Linked DNA regions of Macaca fascicularis. The main gene of each other region encodes a partner of the protein of the gene in region 2 in a complex. Links are inferred from orthologs where the notes say so. Each region holds a gene or a part of one and is shown on either strand. Other genes may lie near its edges.

Region 1 (3,652 bases), on a different chromosome or scaffold from region 2:
TCTGCGGGCTCTATGACTTCAATCTCTGTGAAGCCTCTGGCTTTTAACTGGCAGGAACAAAGCCTGCATTCTTAGGATTAGCCCTCCCTGGAGCCATCCACCCTACCGGGGCCTGATGAGAGCCATAGCAGGTGAACAATTACCTAATCCCAGCCTGCGAGGCACAGAGGAGGCATTCTTCTTAGAGACATTATTTTTGAACTCTAGTCTTGCGGACCCTAGAGATGGTAAGAGCTAACCCCTCCTTTCACAGAGTCGAAACTAAGAAGCGTGTTGCTGTGCCACTAGTTGCGGAACCAGGCCTGGGGTCCAGGCGTTCTTCCCGCCTCCCAGCCTGGTTGTCGCCCCTCCTGTCATCTGCCGTAGGCCTGGTGCTGCTTGTAGATGGTGAAATCTCTGGGCTGGTGGTGTCTAATCGGGTTGGGAAGAAGGGGAGAGAGGCCACGGAGAGCTCTGCTGGGAACTGGATTTGCTTAATAGATTGGACCAGAAGTGCCCAGCAGAGCCACACTGGGACCTGCTTGTGCTCGCAGTTCAATCAGGCTCTAGGCCGGCTGTGGTGGCTCACACCTGTAATCCCAGCACTTTGGGAGGCCAAGGCAGGTGGATCACCTGAGGTCAGGAGTTCGAGACCAGCCTGGCCAGCATGATGAAACCCCATCTCTACTAAAAGTACAAAAAGTTAGCCGGGTGTGGTGGCGGGTGCCTGTAATCCCAGCACTTAGGGAGGCTGAGGAGGGCGGATCACCTGAGGTCAGGAGTTCACTACTAAAAGTACAAAAATCAACTGGGCATGGTGGCAGGCACCTAATCCCAGCTACTCGGGAGGCTGAGAATCACTTGAACCCTGGAGGCGGAGGTTGTAGTGAGTTGAGATCACGCTACTGCACTCCAGCCCGGGTGATGAGAGTGAAACTGCATCCCAACAACAACAACAACAACAAAAAATCAGGTTCTAAACCCCAGCAGAGTTTCTCCAAACAGCCAAGACATTTTTGGGAAACTTTGCCCATGAAGTGGGGCTTTGTGCAAAGAACAGGTCTTGGGCCTGCCAGTCCCTGATTTGGGGCCAGCTGCCACCCCCTCTTTGCCTCACTTTTCCTCCTCTGTAAAATGAGGTAACTCATTTCCGATCTCCCCTGACTCCCAGGAGAAACATGAGGGCCAGTGAGCTGGAGAATGACAGTCATCACGTCTCTCGTCTGCTGATCGTGTGTCTGTGCACACTCATCTACCACAGTGTGTGGGAGGGCTGGTCTGTCTTTGGCTTTATAGTTTTTTGAACTTGGCAAGGGATCCAGAGCATGCCTGTCAGTTCACCTGCAGCCAAATCCTTGGGGACACCTGTTAAAATTCAGATTTCTGGGTCGTATCCCGGAACCATTCAGTGAGTAACATTTTTGGGCATGGACACTGAGCCTGGCCTCTGGCTCCGCACTGGGATACAGCCGTGGATAAGATGCGGTCTCCATCAGACACTTCCCACCCGTCATGTCTAAAGAACTCTCCTAGTATTGATTGATTGATTGAGACGAGATCTCACTATATTGGGCAAGCTGGTCTCAAACTCCTGGCCTCAAGTGGTTCTTCCCCATCAGCCTCCCAAAGTGCTGGGATTACAGGCATGAGCCACCGCACCCAGGCACTTTCCTAGTTCTTTTTTTTTTTTTTTTTTTTTTTTTGAGACGGAGTCTCGCTCTGTCGCCCAGGCTGGAGTGCAGTGGCCGGATCTCAGCTCACTGCAAGCTCCGCCTCCCGGGTTCACGCCATTCTCCTGCCTCAGCCTCCTGAGAAGCTGGGACTACAGGCGCCCGCCACCTCGCCCGGCTAGTTTTTTGTATTTTTTAGTAGAGACGGGGTTTCACCGTGTTAGCCAGCATGGTCTCGATCTCCTGACCTCGTGATCCGCCCGTCTCGGCCTCCCAAAGTGCTGGGATTACAGGCTTGAGCCACCGCGCCCGGCCTTTTTTTTTTTTTTTTAGACAGAGTCTTACTCTGTTGCCCAGGCTGGAGTGCAATGGCGCCATCTCAGCTCACTGACACCTCCGCCTCCCAGCTTCAAGCGATTCTCCTGCCTCAGCCTCCCAAGTGGCTGGGATTACAGGCGTGAGCCACTACGCCTGGCTAATTTTTGTATTTTTAGTAAAGACAGGGTTTCGCCATGTTGGCCAGGTTGGTGTCGATCTCCTGACCTCAGATGATCCACCCACCTCAGCCTCACAAAGTGCTGGGATTACAGGCATGAGCCACCATGCCCAGCCATTCTCCTAGTTCTTAATGTCTGTCAGGAGGGTCCTTGTTCTTGGTTTGTTTGGCAGAGCCCCATACCTTCAGAGAGGAGTGGATTTTTTCCTTTTCCCAGCAAACCATGGAGTAGGAAGCCCTGAAGTCCCTAGAAGCACACATGCACACACACCCATACCTGTGCTTCTGCAGCAGGGCCACCAGGATGCTCTCCAATTCCATTTGCTTTTGTTCTGCCCACACGCTGTCCACCTGACGGCCAAGCCGTGCCCTTGCTCCTCGCTCTTGGTTTCTCTCTCTGTGTGGTTAGAAAAAGAGAACTAGTTGCTATTTGGGTAGGATGTGGAGAGGCAGAGGTATATCCCTACGCCTATTTCAATATCTGGTGTGGACTCTTCTACCCAACTGAATTAGATTCAGCCACACTTAGGGAGGCAGTATATATAGTAGTGAAGAGTACAGTAGTACAAATGTATACAGTTGCAAAACGTCTCCCCACAGATTATTAATTATAGAGGGAAAAATAACTTTATAGAGGAGAAACCTGGCAGACACCATGTTAACCAACTGATCGAAGTTACCATCTACCAATAATCCACCAATAATGGCACAAGTTGCCATCCTGTGCCTCCTGATACCAGGCACTGAGAAGGACACAACATTACTTCTGTGAGTGCATCACCTGATTCCTCTAATCATCATTAGAGGAATGCATCCTCTAATCATGGGGATATGTCTGGCAAATTCAACATGAGAGACATTCTATAAATCATTAGCCTTTAGTAATCAAAACTGTCAATGTCATGAAAGACCGAGGAACAATTCCAGATTAAAAGAAACTGAAGAGACATGACAACTAAATGGTATCCATGATCCCAGATTGGGTCCCAGATCAGAAAAAGAAATAATTGTCATAAAGGACATTTTGGGACAACTGGTAAAATTTGAAAATGGATTATAACTGACAATTATATTATGATTATGTAAGGAAATGTCCTTTGGTTAGGTATTAGGAGACACATACAGAAGTACCTAAAGGTAGAGGGTCATGATGACTGCAATTTACTCTCAAATGGTTCAGCAAAAATGATAACAACACTTAATGTGCATATGTGTTTCTGTGGTATGTATCTATATCTAGCTATAGATATAGAGTAAGCAAATGTGATAAAATGTTAGGAATTGGAAGGGTATATGGAAGTCCATTGTGCTTTTGTTGCAACTTTTTTGTAAGTTTGAGATTTTTTCAAAGTAAAAACTAAAAAACATACAGGCTATAGAGTCAGGCAGTTTTGCTCCAAACTCTGCCACTCTTTGTGTGTCCTTTAAGAGCTATTAACCCTGGGCCCAGACACAGTGGCTCATGCCTGTAATCCCAGCACGTTGGGAGGCTGAGGCGGGCAGATCA
Region 2 (3,652 bases):
AGGGGCAGAGATAGGAGTGAGTTCTGGTGTTGGAAGAGATGGGTCTACATGGTGGGGAAAAGGGAAGGGAAAGTTAGACATGGGTATGGTGCCTAGATCTGGGAAGTTCATGGCTATGCAGGCAAGGAAGCAGACTTGGCCCTCTGAGAAATAGGGAGCCAAGGAAGGTTCTTGAGCTGGTGATGAGGATGGCAAACCTGAGAGCAACCAGGATGGTGATGGCCACGAAGAGGGCTACAATAGAGATGCTATGGCCCATGGTGTAGATAATCTTCACTGTGGAGAAGTAAGATTCCTGGGAAGGGCAGAGACGGAAGAAATTCTCAACTTCAGGGCCTTTTGGGGGAAAGAGAGGCTTGGCAATCAAGCAGGTGAAGCCTTTGCCATTCCACCCCAACATTGCCCATCTGGAGACAGAGGTGTCCGCAGGTACCATGGAAAGCTCCCCCTATGCACTAGGGCTTTCATTTCCAGCCTGCCTTCCACCTGACCTGCGGGTGAGGGAGGAGCAGTGGCGAGGAGTGGAGACGCTTAACACTCATGATGCTCTGGGGGTGGGGAGAGGCAGCCACAGAAACTACAGGTCCCTGGGGAATGACAAAAGCACCAGAGGAAATCAGCTTGTTTATTGACATCCAGCTTGCTCACCAGCTTAAGAACACAACGTCCCCAAATAAAGGAGACAGCCAGGGACACCTGGGGACAGCCACAGGCAGGCAAGCTAAAGGTTCCCATGGCCAAGTGTTTGTATCAGTCAGAGTGCGGCCGGGCCCTGAAGATAGAGGGTGCAGGCAAGGGAAGGGAGCAGGGGCCCGGGCACTGGCCCCAATCCCAGCTCTCCTGTGGGGTCCAGGCAATCACTGCCTGTCCCTGACTCAGTCTTTCCATCTGAAAAATGCTTATAGTCATGCTTTACCTTTCAGAGATCAAGGGGACAGAGAAACAGGATGGTGGGTGTGGGAGTGCCTTGCAAAGGCCCTGCTGGATGCAGAAGTGTGGGTGTGCTCGCTGGTATTAGGAGCTCTCTGCAATCACTCTGGGCTTGAGTTTCCCTCATTTGCCCACACCACAACCATGCACACTGCTCCACAGACTGAGGGTCAGAGAAGAAAAGGAACTTCCCAGGGCTGCCAGGATCCTTGTTGCCTCTGGAACCACTTTAAGCTCCCTGCCCTGGAGACCTGGACACGGAACCAAGACAGCAGGCAGCAGATCTCCCACATGCCCTCTGCCCCGCTTCTCCCTCCAAGTAACTTGGCCCGTGGGTCACCCTTGAGTAACTTAGCAGAAGACCCCCTCTCCTCCAGACGCTTCACTGCTGTCTGCTGGAAAACCGCTGTAAGGAATATTCCAACCTGCAGGCTGGGGAATGGAGGCCCCGACGTTGTGCACCCACCCATACGAATGTCCATGGCAGTCCTTCCTCCAAGATGCCGGGAGCCTCTTACCTCCTCAGCCAGCAGCTCCAGAGGCACAGGGCAGGCCACAGGGTAAGGTGGAAAGGGCTCAGACCAGCCAGTGATGGTACAATCCCGCTTCACAGCCCCTGGGAGGCAAGCAAGACTCTCTAGCCACAACCCCTTCCCTCTCCCCAGGAGGGGGCTGGGGGTGCCATGGACCATCAAGTGACCCTGGCAGGGTTTGCATGGACAGTTCCTCTCAGCAACAGAGAGGGCAACTCCAGAGGCCTGGAGCCCAGGTGTAGCCTACCCAGGGACACACTATGGGGCCTTCCATCTCTGGCTTCCAGGGCACCATCTCTGCACAGAGAGGATTACTCCCCTGAGGGGTGGGGAGTGGTGAGCTGGGCTGCCAGCCTCCTAAAGGCAGCAGGGGAGAAAAGAGGCCCTCGCAGTCCAGGCACCCAGGCCAGGGAGGTAAAGCAGAGCAGCCGGGTGCCCCACCCTCTCCATCCTGGGCAGTTAGTGGTGTCTTGGCAGACAGGCAGGCCTGCCCTCCTCCACCCTTGCAGCCAGCCTCCTGCTAACACTGGAGGGCACCCAGGTCCAGCACTTACAGGTTCCGCACTCTAATCCTTTCTTGCGCAGTTACTGCTTTCGTTCTCCCCAGTTCATAGCTCAGGAAGCAGAGGTCAGGATTGACTGACGGGCCCGAGGTCACCCCAGAAGAGGGGAAGTTGGTATACAAACCCAGGTCGGCCTGCCCCCAAAGCCAGCGACGTGTCTGCCAGATTCTGCCACTTCCAGACGAAAGCACCTCCCTTTCCCACTGCCATACCCAGGACCCCTCACCTGACTCTGAGCTGAAGTGAGAGAAGAAATCAGGGCAGGGGAGGGTGACCCACTCGCCGGATCCTGCCGTCGGCCAGCACAGCAGCCCATCCCAGGTCCTGGGGCAGCCTGGATAGAGAGCCGGGAGCAGCAGAGACTCAGCCCAGCCACAGGGCTGCCCCAGTAATCTGAGGGGTGATGCCAGAGGACACAAAGGAATCAGAGGAGCCGCCACCTGCCTCCTAGGCCCCATACCCAGGGTGGCGTTGGGCATCTCCTCTGCTGCTTGTAGACAGGCACTCTCATCCTCTCTCAGCTGGGTGATGAAGTCACATTCTGGGTGCATGTGGCCCAATACCTGCTGGAAACAGTGAACAGGATGAGCCAAGCCAATTGAGTGCCTTTCTGGGCTCTGTGGTCCACATGACCTGAGAACAGGGACGAGTCCTTATTCATTTCTGTGCCCTAATCCTGAGCAAAGACCTGCTCGCAGTACTTTCAGGTGTGTTTGGTGGATGTTCAGATACAAGGAAGGAAGGAAGGAAGGAAGGAAGGAAGGAAGGAAGGAAGGAAGGAAGAAAGGAAGGAAGGAAGAAAGGAAGGTAGGTGTGACTGCCTAGGCAGCTGGCTGGTGGAATGGATGAGTATACAGACAGACAGACAAATATATGGCTGGGGAGGTGGATGGATGGATGGACGGATGGATGGACGGACAGATGACTGGCTGCATGGATGGGTGCGTGGTGGATGAGTGAGAGAGCTGTGTAAGGATGGATGTGTGGGTCCATGGATGTGTAGATGAAAGGATCATAGCCTTGACAGCTGAGCAACCCTGAAAGACTATAGTTTTAGGAGCTTCCCAGATCTCGTGCTACACAGTGGCCATGAGAAATGATCTCTGGAAGCTGGAAACAAGTTGGGGTTTTTTTGGAAATCTTCTAGCAGTGCTTCTGAAAGTGTTTATCAAGAATCAACTAGAGATCCACTGGGATGGAAGCAGGGATATGCAGAGATCTAGGGTGGATCTAGCACTTTGCATTTTAACAAGTTCTCCAGGGAACTGGGAATGAACAGCAGCAATTTCTAGCACTTCTCCCTCCCACCGCCCCAAACTGGAGGAAAACCAAAACTGCTCACCCAGTAGGCCAGAGCCCAAACAGTTACATAGAAGGGAAGCCAAGTTTACAAAACAGACTTTCTGCACTGTGAACTGGGTATACAGCATACACATTTTTATATAAAACACACATCCGAGTCAACCAGTGTAGACGTCTGTTCCCCGAGGCTTCCACAGGAGAGGAGTGGCTGGGGAAGGGAGAAGGGCTGGATCCTAATAGACCCTGTGCAAGCTGTGATCAGAAGCAGGACAGGGGCCGGGCGCAGTGGCTCATGCCTGTAATTCCAGCACTTTGGGAGGCCAA

Evidence for each region. The genes of interacting proteins can lie anywhere in the genome.
Region 1: the proteins of GHRHR (region 2) and GHRH are in contact, whole or in part, in a cryo-EM structure (PDB 7CZ5), measured with the Homo sapiens proteins. The link is inferred for Macaca fascicularis from reciprocal best matches to the Homo sapiens genes GHRHR and GHRH. Residues at the interface, in NP_000814.2 of Homo sapiens: Leu119, Ala120, Glu122, Glu123, Phe126, Ser127, Val129, Lys130, Tyr133, Val179, Lys182, Leu186, Phe187, Asp190, Thr192, Asp193, His194, Cys195, Phe197, His210, Thr213, Phe217, Ala271, Cys272, Asp274, Leu275, Asp276, Trp282, Ile285, Ile289; in NP_066567.1 of Homo sapiens: Tyr32, Ala33, Asp34, Ala35, Ile36, Phe37, Thr38, Asn39, Ser40, Tyr41, Arg42, Val44, Leu45, Gly46, Gln47, Leu48, Ser49, Ala50, Leu53.

Annotation. Positions count from the first base shown.
Region 1 is NC_088384.1:93,361,306-93,364,957, forward strand, and holds part of GHRH (somatoliberin), read right to left. Parts: intron 2,543-3,652; coding exon 2,423-2,542; intron 1-2,422. UniProt on the Homo sapiens protein: GRF is released by the hypothalamus and acts on the adenohypophyse to stimulate the secretion of growth hormone.
Region 2 is NC_088377.1:99,322,622-99,326,273, forward strand, and holds part of GHRHR (growth hormone-releasing hormone receptor), read right to left. Parts: intron 2,590-3,652; coding exon 2,487-2,589; intron 2,361-2,486; coding exon 2,253-2,360; intron 1,697-2,252; exon of another isoform or gene 1,623-1,696; coding exon of another isoform or gene 1,547-1,622; coding exon 1,449-1,546; intron 588-1,448; coding exon of another isoform or gene 492-587; intron 296-491; coding exon 198-295; intron 1-197.